Sus scrofa: one gene and its partners. The protein of the gene in region 3 binds, or shares a complex with, the protein of the main gene of each other region. Links are inferred from orthologs where the notes say so. Each region holds a gene or a part of one and is shown on either strand. Other genes may lie near its edges.

Region 1 (3,647 bases), on a different chromosome or scaffold from region 3:
GGATTTTAACACTTTGTTTTCTTGAGCATCCTTGTTTTACCTTTTGTCAGGACCTGTTTGTTTGTTTGTCTTTTGTCTTTTTAGGGCCGAGGCATACAGAGGTTCCCAGGCTAGAAGTCGAATTGGAGCTGTAGCCTCCGGCCTACCCCACAGCCATAGCAACACAGGATCTGAGCCACATCTGTGACCTACACCACAGCTCACGGCATGACGGGAACTCCAAGACTTTTTGTTTCTAAGGGAACAATCCAGTTTCTATGTTTTATTTAAGTGAAGATCGTGGGAACTGATGTTTAAGCAGTTTGCTTTTTAGTTTCTAGTGTTTTTTTAGCTGTCAAAGAAATGAAGTTGAGATTAGTAATTGTAGATTGAAAAGATAGCCTCAAAACTTTTGCTTATTAGGAATTGCCCAGTCTAGATGTGAAGAGATGAATGTATGAACCTAGCGTCGATGACGTTCTCCCCACCTTTTCCTGGCACACTTGCTGGGACCCATGGAAAAGAGGAGTTTGCTACATTTCCAAGGTTCAGAAGAGGAGTGTAACACAGCCTTGAACCCTTAGTACTTTGTAAGTGGAATGACAACAGAACATTTTGGGAGAAGGAACAAAAAGGCCATGCTGCTGTGTCTGATCCAGTACGAGAGCTTCTGAGTGGTGTGACTGGTCTGTCATAGCCTTCTGTTCCTTTTCTGCCTCAGACAGACACAGCCATCTTTCTTCCCAGGGAAAGTTTGAGCTACAAAGTATTTTAGTTTGCTATGAGGAGAAGGGGTTATTTAGATTTATTTTTTATGACTGAATTAATGTGTGTGGGAAATGCTTAAAATCTGCGCTTCATCCCTGGTATATCTAAATAATGCCCTGCTCTGTTTTTTTTCTAGGGGTGAGCCCCTCCAGACTCCGAATAGGAGATCAAGAATTTGATTCATTGCCTGCTTTACTGGAATTCTACAAAATACACTATTTGGACACTACAACGTTGATAGAACCAGTTTCCAGATCCAGGCAGGGTAGTGGAGTGATTCTCAGGCAGGAAGAGGCAGAGTATGTCCGAGCCCTCTTTGACTTTAATGGGAATGATGAGGAAGATCTTCCCTTTAAGAAAGGAGACATCCTGAGAATCCGGGATAAGCCTGAAGAGCAGTGGTGGAATGCGGAGGACAGCGAAGGCAAGAGGGGGATGATCCCAGTCCCTTACGTCGAGAAGTATAGACCTGCCTCCGCCTCAGTATCGGCTCTGATTGGAGGTAACCAGGAGGGTTCCCACCCACAGCCATTGGGTGGGCCGGAGCCCGGGCCCTATGCCCAACCCAGCGTCAACACTCCGCTCCCTAACCTCCAGAATGGGCCCATTTATGCCAGGGTAATCCAGAAGCGAGTCCCTAATGCCTACGACAAGACAGCCTTGGCTTTGGAGGTACATAATGTGCAAAATGTAGAAAGAAGAGATCTGCTACAGGGTCTCCCTTTCAGACCTCTTAGAGCTTTGTAGCAATGCCAAATACAAGCGGCAGCATTGTGATGTTGTTGTAGATGTCGAACCGTTAAGTACTGATTTTGGCATTTAATGTTGGGTTTTCTCTTTTACATGGAAAACCTGTTTGGGAATGAGTAAGCTTAAAACTGTATAACGGAATGTTCTGATTGATTTACTAAACCATACTTTGACGACTTTAATAACACCACCTGAATTCACAGGAATTAACCTAAAATATTTTTTCTCATCTACATTCTAATCTGTTTCTTTTTTTTCTGTTTATCATTATCTACGACAAAATGGGCTGACACAGATTTGAGTATGATAAGTGGTCTCAGTCAAAATACTTAAATGGAATTTTCTTAAAAAACCATGAATATTTTTACTTTAGAGGGCATGGAGTTTCTTACCATTTATTGATTGCATTCATTAAATAATTCAGGAGGGTAAGTGAAGTGTGCAGGTATGGAGAGATACCCAGAAGTATTCATTCCAAGGAACAGCAGGTTGACTTGGTCTTTGTTTAAAGCATTTTATAGACAAGTAGCCAGTTCCTCCTGAGGAGCAGATTTTTGCCTTTCGCTGGTTAATGGTTCTCCTTGGCAACCCATCTCCTCTGGCCAGCCATTATATTGTATTGATTCCTGTCTTGAGCACTCACAGCTTTGTCTCTTAGCTCTTCTCTTCCTCTTGCCCACCCTCCCTTTCTTTCTCAGTTATGCAGAGCTAGTGGTTTAGCATAAAAGCTTATACAGATGGGGCACACTATCCCAGGTGTCAGAGCCTTTTAGATATGGTGACTTGAATGTAAGCAAGTAGCTAACTTTCGTAAGCACAGGCTGAAGTTATGTGAGTACAGGTTAGCAGAGGAGGGGCAAAAGTGTGTTCTTGTAAGCTGAATTCCCTTCTCAATTTTGTTTCTTCTGGGTCATGTTTATACCACGGAGGAAGGGGAGCTGCCCTCTAAGTGGGAGCATTAGCCTATAGAATGAGCTGGTATTTGAAATAGTCTCTGATAGTACTGGATTTGATAGTACTTTTACATTCTGGATAGCGCATGCAAAGGAGGATTAGTTGGTTCTTAACAAGTTTGACTGAAAAGTGGTGGTGGTGGTGGTTGTTTTTGTCTTTTGTCTTTTTTAGGGCTGTACCCGAGGCATATGGAGGTTCCCAGGCTAGGGGTCTAATCAGAGGTGTAGCTGCCGGCCTACTCCAGAGCCACAGCAACTAGGGATCCGAGCCGCATCTGCGACCTACATACGCCACAGCTCACAGCAACACCGGCTCCTTAACCTACTGCGCGAGGCCAGGGATTGTACCTGAAACCTCATGGTTCCTAGTCAGATTCGTTTCTGCTGCGCCATTACGGGAACTTCAAAAATGTTTTTTTTTTTTTTTTAAGGTGGATGTATTTTGGAGTTTCTCTTGTAGCTCATTGGTGTTGAACCCAACTAGTATCCATGAGAACCAGCATTCATCCCTGGCATTGCTCAGTGGGATCAGTCGGTCTGTGAGCTGCAGTGTAGGTCGCAGAAGAGGCTTGGATCTGGTGTTGCTGTGTCGTAGGCTGGCAGCTGCAGTTCTGATTTGACCCCTAGCCTGGGTACTTCCAAATGCTGCACCTGCTGCCCTAAAAAGACAATAAATAAATAAATAAAAAATAAAAGGTGTGTATATTTTGAGATCATGTAACTCAAAGGTATTGTGTCTTAGCTTTGATGAGAAATAAGATGTATGTTGTCTAGGTCACACCACTTTTTCCCACTTAGTGGTTGGAGAGTAAGAAAAACAGTGAAGAAATAAGGAGTTTCTGGCCTCATACTTTTGCTTAAGTTCAGATAATGGCAACATGCAACACTGTGCTGTACACGTGGTAATTATGACTCTTGACATTTACTGCAGACCTTGCTGGCACTGGACTGGAGTGTGAAAATAACATTCATAGAACAAGCCAGCCAACACCCAGGAGAGAATTATCACATTAATTTTACTTCCATTTGCAATTCCTTTCTCGAAGAGAATTGTTTCTTAATGATGCCTACCTTGATTAGAGGCTTTATTTAGTGCTCAGAAATGATTGAGCTGCTCTCCTGCTGTGAAACCTAAATCTTGTGAAATAAAAATTAAAGTAGAAGACGAGTTTATGATTTTAGTAAGTTTCCTTTTTT
Region 2 (3,747 bases), on a different chromosome or scaffold from region 3:
GTTAATGGTCTCTGGTTCTGCCTCTCTGTAGACTGCACTGTCTGAATTTTCCTTCAGTAAAGGCCAAAAAAAAAAAAATTGTCCCCACACCTCCCTCCCAAAGTGTGAAAAATTACTGAATTGAACATATTACTTCCTTTCAATGAGTACCAAACAGAAGTAAGAGGTACCTCAAATTTAAAATTTTTTCAGGAGTTATGCAATGAAATCTTTTACCTGTGCTGTTTCACCTTTCCCTCCAAATAATCCTGGAGGATTAAAATAAAGAGCCATTCCTTTATTTTACATGCCATCTGACCAGCTAAGTGACAAAGCTGAGATTTGATCCCAGGGGCTTTTTAATTCCCAAAACCTTTGTTCTTGACTTTTGTAACTGCTAACACTCTACTAATTCAGCTTTTAACAATTTTTTGCACCTCTTAATTACTGCAAGGAAGGAGAAAAGACAGTCCTGGACAGAAGGGGGCCAAACCATCTCCTATCCCTTTAAATACTCTGCATCTTCTAACAAGAAATGTCTGAACTAAATTTTCAATCATGGAAGGGAGATGCCCGATCCCTTAATACCTCTTTTTGCTCTCTTTCCGCTGCATCACCCTTCTGCTTAGAGACAGACTCCTCTTCCAGTGGTCCCCAGAGCAGTCCCGGCTGCAAGGGTTCCCCGACACACCAGACCCCCAAGCGCTGTTCCTCGGTCAGTGAGGGACCTAGGGCCAAGCCCCGGGGGAGGCTCTTTAGAGCGAGGATGGCTCGGGTCGGTCTGGCTGGGAAATCTTTGGGTCCCTGTGCACAGCCTTCTCCGGAAGGGCTCCATCCTGAGTCCGGGTCCAGGCGTGGGCCGGGGACTGCAGCGAGAGAGGAAGACAGTGAAGAAGTGAGGAAGCCGCCCAAGAGGTAGTGGGGTGGGGAAAGATGAGGGAGAAAACCCTAGGTCCAGCTAGGCCTCAAGAGTCTGAGAGATATATAAAGACTCTAAGGGGCCCCGAAAAGACCTGAGGGACTTCGAGGGCTCTTAAAAGAAGCCCCCGAGATTTTGAGGGCACCGGAGGAGGATGCCAGGCTCGGGAGGAAAAGGGTCGGGGGATAAGAGTTGACCAGAGAACGTCAGGAATATCTGAGCCGAGGGTCGGAGACACCGCAGGCCGCTCACCGAACTGCAGTCTTCCCTTCGCCGAGAGAAGCTCCTCCGCCTCCTCCATCCCGGATCGAAAAGCCTCCCTCCGCCGGAAGTGAGTGTCACCTTCTAGGCTCCTCCCGGAAACAGTCATTGACACCCAAATTTCCTCTCGGGAACGAATCGTAAGAGTCAGCCTTAACTGGTGCACAAGACCAGGAGTTTGGGAATTCTGGTGAGGCGAATCTCTGTCCGAGAAGAATACGAGCTAAGGATTCCGGAGGTCCACCAGAGATTCGAGTACCCGGAACATCGGAACTAACTGTTCCAGGGCCTCCTTTTGGGAGGGACGAATCGGACGGTTCTACTCCACCGCAGCCAAGGAGGCACGTGAGCAGCACGTACAGGAAGTGGGCGGGGATCCTGGAAAGGCCATGTTTGGACCGGGCAGCGGGTCGGAAGTGGGTTGGAGGTGTGGCGGAAGTGGTTGGGAGTGAAGAGACAGGGAGGGGGCGGTTCCCGTTCCACCTCGGAGCCGGATGTTTGCCGATCTTTGACAGGCGTGGCAGAGGGAGCGGTACCCGACCACGGTGAGCTGCGGGGTGCAAGTTCTGCCTGGGAGGTTGGGGGCGGGGCGGGAAGGAAAAGGACTGGCCAGGTCATTTGAAGGGATGGGGTCCGGATGGGGAGCATCCAAGCGGATCCGAGGAAGGGAGCAGGGGTGGAATGGGGCCTGGGAACCTGGCCTTCCCGCTGCCGGGATTCTGCCCCACTCGCGGGTCTGCAGCGAGAGGACTTTGCTTCTTTTGCTGGCTTCTTCCTGGCCTCTCGCTCGCTGTCATCGAGTAAACTCATGGGAAGGGGAAGTCTCCCTCGTCCGATCTGGGGAAGTGCTAAAACAAGAAATTCGGGCGAAGTGTTCCACCTTGCTACTTATTAGGCCACGCTTTCATGTCTCTTTCTTAACCTGTGAGACAGGATTGTAGCACCCAATCCGGTTTTTGTGAACCATGAGGCTTTATGCAAACGTGATTGTAGTTGAAAGGCTTGCTTTGTATTGTGGGGTTTGCATTTTTGCAATTCTGGAGCCCTAACTAGGAGGCCTATCACAATTCCAGAGAATATGATTTCAAGTTATTTCAGTTCTCCTTGGAGGAGTTTAGAGAAGCTTTACTTTGCCCTTTTGTAGAACTTTGAGAATCATATGAATGACAGTCACTTAAGAGAAGTATTGAAGGATTGACCTGCACAAAGAGACCACCTTAGATAGACATGGATTAAAATCTTGACTTTACTGTATGACTCTTATTTTTTCTGGTCTTCACATTTCTGGAACTGTACTTCTCTGGTGCTGATGTGAAAAGATAATTTGTATCCAGTTCATCGTGGTTGCTTCCCTTTTCCTCTTAGGATACAAATTGATTCCTTCAGTAATTCAGCAAATGACTGAGCATCTACTCTGTGCCAGATGTAATTTTGAGTAGGTCAAGGCTGTTTGTTTGTTTTTAATGGTCACACCCGCAGCACATGGAAGTTCCATGGGCCAGGGATTGAATCCCAGCAGTAGCTGACCTGTGCTGTGGCAACACCAGATCCTTGAACCAACTGCTCCCACCCGGGATAGAACTTCACAGCGATCCAAACCCCTGCAGTGAGGTTCTTAACCCACTGCGCCACAGTGGGAACTCCAGGTCAGGGATTCTTAAACAGTGATTCTAAGAGGGTCTGTGAACCCCTTAAAATTTCATGCAAGATTTCATGAGTATGCTGATTTTTGGGGAATGAGTCCAGACAGTTCATCAGAATTCCAGAGAACTCCAGGACTTCCCAAAGGTAAAACCTCTGCCTAAAGTGAGTCTTGAAGGATTTAGGAAAGGTACATATTTTATCTCCTGAGAAGAGAAACGTTAATTTGAGAGTAAGACATATTTTGCAGAGTGAAGCAGGACTGTGACAGGAGTCTTAGGCAGCCAGGATACTTCATTTCCGTGACTCTATGTTAGAAGTTCCCTGCACTAGCTTCTCTCCCCCTTCCCACTGAATGGGAGCTCAGCTTCTGGCCTCACAAGGGGCAACAGCTGTGGGCTGGAGGGTAGTGAGAGAGGCCAGGCTGGCTGGGAGGTGGAAGCAACTGTGATTAGTTATGCTGGAAAAGGAGCGTATAGGGTGGGGGAGGGGTCAGTTCTGGAAGAACTAACAAAATAGAAGAGTTACTGGAAGAGGTGGAGTTCAAGTTTGTCTCCCTTTTAGAGTGTCCCTCTCCCTCCCTCACACATACTTTAGCTCCCAGCTGTCCCTTCTAATCCTGTTGTTCCCTTCAGCACAAGTATTTTAGAATGCTGGAGAATTATATTTCTGGGAGGAGTCTTCACTTCTATAGATGAGATAGATGAGGAAATTTAAGCCTAGATAGGAAAAGGACTGCCCAGCATCTTTGCAAATCAGTCAGGACTATAATCCAGTTCTCCGTGTATCTCATTCCCTGCCTTTTTTTTTTTTTCTTTTTTCTATTTTTTTGTCACTTCATCAAGCACCCACTGTGTGCAAAAAGACTTCTGGAATAGTTGTGGGCAAGGCTGAAGGAGCTTTTGGTGTCTGGGCAGTAACTGAACAGAAGGGATGGAGAGAAGGCT
Region 3 (3,747 bases):
GGCTGTAACACCTGCCTCAGATTCCCAAAAATTTAAATTTAACTGAGTACAGATGTTGTTATTATGTGAAAACATTTTAAGAACGTGCTATCTTTTGGGTCTTGGAAGAAATTACTGAGGAAGAGCTCATTTTTAATACACAGTTAATTACCAGTCTCTTATCACCTTGCCTCAATCTAAAAAAATTAAGACTCAAGAAATATGGCAGCAGGTAAGTGTTCCATTTTTATCTTCTTAAAAAGATACATTATGGCAAATAAATATATTTTAGAAGATCCAAGCTCCACACCTATCCAATCATCTACCAACACCTACACACTACAGAAAGCTGATGTAAACCTACCACTTTTAAGTGTTTCTTAACAAGCAATCTGTTCTCTCTATACAAACGAGAAACAATAGGAAAGCGCTTGTTCCAACATGAACTATCTTTACAACAATGCATTACACAACTGGATCTCATTTGCTTTACAATGCTAACATTTTTCTGTATTACACTACCCTGCAGTCAATGAAGGATATACAATTTAGGATGTACCTAACATTCTGTGATCCCAAGTCTGAAAATATTACTCACTTAAGTTTATTTGGTTAAAAATCCAAAACATTTTTAATTACAAAATTAAACTGACTACCAAGCAAAGATTAAGCGTAAATAGAACTGATTCTCTTTTCACACACCCTTACCACAAAAAGTGCACATGAGTTGACTTAGGTACATATTCCGAATCGGTAATTCATATGGGAGAAGTTAAACAGTCTGTGAATTGCATCTTAGACCAAAGAAATGCTTCCACAAATAAATTCATCTCATTCGGGTACAGTCAAAGGGATCTTTAAAGTTACTGCCTACGCAAGCGGCTGCAGAAGGTGTTGTCTTACGTTTTATTCTCTGGCACAAGTTGATCCGGAGATTTTAAACCCTCCTGGCTTTCAGATGCATATGAGACGGCCAGGATTTCAAAAGATCATCTCTGATGCGTTGGGAAACAGGTTGGCTAGGCCAATGGGTGACCCAACCAAGGCTACAAAATGCTGTCTTAATTTAGTGAGTCCCTGACTTGTAGGAGTTAAAAACTCTCACCCCTTATATTGCGATGACGTAATCTTCCACACTGCATTTCTCTGGGATTAAAGGGGAGGAAAAACACAAACGAACAAAGAAATTTTCCCCCTAATGAGAGGAACTGGGCAAAAGGCTGAACGACAGTTTCGGGAGGTGGTTAGGTAACTCCCTGAAAGGGAAGCTTCAGCTGAAAACGCAGGGAGAGAGTTGGAGAAGCAAACGGAAACGGCATCAGGAACTCGACCTAAGGCAGGAATAAAGGAGACCGGAGAAGCGGCGACCAGGCCCACCCAGTGGGACCAGGCGTCCAGCTGCGGGACCGCGGAGGGAGGCGCGTCGCAGGCAAACCCGGGGCGGTCAGCTAGCCGCCCGCTCCCGGCCGCCACTTCCCGGCCGCGCTCGCAATCCGCTCCCCTCCCCCCCGCCCGCCGCAAAATGTCTGCGGCCGCGCCGGGCGAAGCAGGAAGTCGAGGCCGGGGCGCGGGGGCAGACCCGGCCTGGGAGCCCGGGCCACCGCCACCCCGGGCAGCCCGGGCGCCCGCGAGCGTCTCCGCAGCTCCCGGCGCCCGGGCCCGCCGTCCGCCTCAGGGGTCCGCAGGGCCGGGGGGAGGGGAGCCGGGCGGCCGGGATGGGTGTGACCCCTTCCTTCCGCCGCTGCCGGGTGACAGCACGGCCGCGCCCTCGGCCCGGCACCCCACAGCAGGGCCGCACACCTCTCGGCCGACGTGCGCCCCCCGCCTTGCCCGCCGCGACTTCCTCGCCTCCGTCCTCGGACAGAACCCGGACCCGCGTTCGCCCGAACGGCGCTGCGCGAGCCGGGCACCCCCCCCCCCCCCACACACACACACACTCCACGCCCCGCGCTCCCAAGCTTCCCAGGAACCCAGACGCGGGGCGTCCCCGTGGACTGGGAAAGGCCGGGCGCGGCGCAGCGGAAACGGGACGGTGGGGAACCCGCTCCCGCGGGGAGCCTAGGACCCCGCACTCACCTCAGCTCCTCAGCCGGGGCGTTGGCAGCAATGCGCGGGGTCTCCTCAGCTGCGGACAGGGGCACGCGCCTGACGTCAGCACGCAGACGACGCAGCGTTGGGAGCCCGCGGAAGTGGGAGGGATCCGAGGCGAAAAGAGGCCGAGCTGTTCCGGGCGGGGCTTGAATTCATCCGCTCCCCAGGTTCAGGCAGCCTAGCGCGCACGCGCCAGGCGGTCCTGCTTGCTCTTTCGTGTGTTGCGCTTGTAACTGTTTCTCCAGTGGCTGTCATATATTTGTAATAATGCTATAAATGGTCGTTTGCAAAGCACCACAACTAACATTTCTTTTGATCTTTGCACTTTTGCAAAGTATCATCATCCTGATTTTGCAAAGAAGACAGCGGCTACTCGAAAAGGGGCATGACTTGTGACCACAATGCAAGTGGATGGCCCTCTGACTCCCCCGGCCCGTATGGCTTGAGAGCTGAGTGCTCGCTTCACTGCTTCCACCCTACTGTCTCTCGTTCCAGCGACATCCGTCATCAATTGGTTTAGAGACTTCCTCCCCACAACAAGGCCTCAGATTCACAATTTCCCCTGGCTGCCTCCTCTTCACCAGTCCTTCCGTTGGCCCTCTGCCTTCAAATGTCACTGCCTTCCTGATCATCCTATCCTCACAGCACCTGTTTGTCATCCGTCTTCCTTGCCAGTGTGCACACTTCAGAATAGGAGCCTTCTCGGTCTTTTCTCAGATGGTGCCTAGTGTTAGAGGAAAATAGCTTATCTTAAATAATAGTTCTTTATTTTTTTCTTTTTAGGGCTGCACCCCTGGCCTATGGAGGTTCCTAGGCTAGGGGTCAAATTGAAGCTGTAGCTGCTGGCCTACACCACAGCCATAGCAACCCGGGATCCAAGCCTTGTCTGCAACTTACACCACAGCTTAAGGCAACGCCAGATCCTTAGCCCACTGAGCAAGGCCAGGGATAGAACCTGCATCCTCATGGATGGATACTACTCAGATTAGTTTCCTCTGAGCTACGAGGGGAACTACAATAATTCATTTATTGATGACTGCCACAGTTATTTGGCCAAGAAAGACATCTATTTACAATATTTTTAATAGTCATATTTCCCTTCGGACTTTTTTTTTATTGTTTCGAATGTTTCATTTTATTTTATTTTATTTTTTGGTCTTTTTTTTTTTTTTTTTGCCATTTTTTGGGCCGCTCCCACCGCATGTGGAGGTTCCCAGGCTAGGGATCTAATTGGAGCTGTAACCGCCAGCCTACACCAGAGCCACAGCAACGCAGGATCCGAGCGGCATCTGCGACCTATACCACAGCTCACGGCAACGCCGGATCCTTAACCCACTGAGCAAGGCCAGGGATCGAACCCACAACCTCGTGGTTCCTAGTCAGATTCGTTAACCACTGAGCCACAACGGGAACTCCTGGACTTTTTTAATTACACAAGAACTACGTTTTAGAGTGATTACTATAGGTATGATGCTAACATACTATAGGTATGATGCTAACAAATTTGCATCTAAACATAGTAGTTCATGTAAAATTCACAACCACCCTATGGACTAAGAACCATTACCCTCACTATTGATGCAAGCTCAGAGGTGTTAAGGGACTTACCCAAGGTCATCAAGCCAGGCGGTAGCAGAGTTGAGACTCTAGCTGACCCAAATGCTACCTAGCAGGTTT

The links.
Region 1: CDC42 (region 3) and CRK share a complex: the UniProt entries of both Homo sapiens proteins name them as parts of the collagen stimulated complex. The link is inferred for Sus scrofa from reciprocal best matches to the Homo sapiens genes CDC42 and CRK.
Region 2: the proteins of CDC42 (region 3) and ARHGAP1 are in contact, whole or in part, in a crystal structure (PDB 1GRN), measured with the Homo sapiens proteins. The link is inferred for Sus scrofa from reciprocal best matches to the Homo sapiens genes CDC42 and ARHGAP1. Residues at the interface, in NP_001034891.1 of Homo sapiens: Asp11, Gly12, Ala13, Tyr32, Val33, Pro34, Val36, Phe37, Gly60, Gln61, Glu62, Asp63, Tyr64, Arg66, Leu67, Leu70, Ser88, Glu91, Asn92, Glu95, Lys96, Asn132; in NP_004299.1 of Homo sapiens: Glu278, Gly279, Phe281, Arg282, Arg283, Ser284, Ala285, Asn286, Thr287, Gln288, Asn309, Glu310, Val316, Lys319, Arg323, Asn385, Lys386, Met387, Asn391, Val394, Val395, Pro398, Asn399, Trp402, Ala403, Lys404, Ala406, Ala407, Thr409, Leu410.

What each region holds. Positions count from the first base shown.
Region 1 is NC_010454.4:47,671,628-47,675,274, reverse strand, and holds part of CRK (adapter molecule crk), read left to right. Parts: intron 1-883; coding exon 884-1,419; intron 1,420-3,647. UniProt on the Homo sapiens protein: Involved in cell branching and adhesion mediated by BCAR1-CRK-RAPGEF1 signaling and activation of RAP1.
Region 2 is NC_010444.4:15,833,040-15,836,786, forward strand, and holds the start of ARHGAP1 (rho GTPase-activating protein 1), read left to right. Parts: upstream 1-1,368; 5' UTR 1,369-1,500; exon of another isoform or gene 1,501-1,704; intron 1,705-3,747. Other genes in the region: ZNF408 (zinc finger protein 408), read right to left, coding at 568-845, 1,151-1,268. UniProt on the Homo sapiens protein: GTPase activator for the Rho, Rac and Cdc42 proteins, converting them to the putatively inactive GDP-bound state. Cdc42 seems to be the preferred substrate.
Region 3 is NC_010448.4:80,033,459-80,037,205, reverse strand, and holds the start of CDC42 (cell division control protein 42 homolog), read right to left. Parts: upstream 2,172-3,747; 5' UTR 2,056-2,171; intron 1-2,055. UniProt on the Homo sapiens protein: Plasma membrane-associated small GTPase which cycles between an active GTP-bound and an inactive GDP-bound state. In active state binds to a variety of effector proteins to regulate cellular responses. Involved in epithelial cell polarization processes.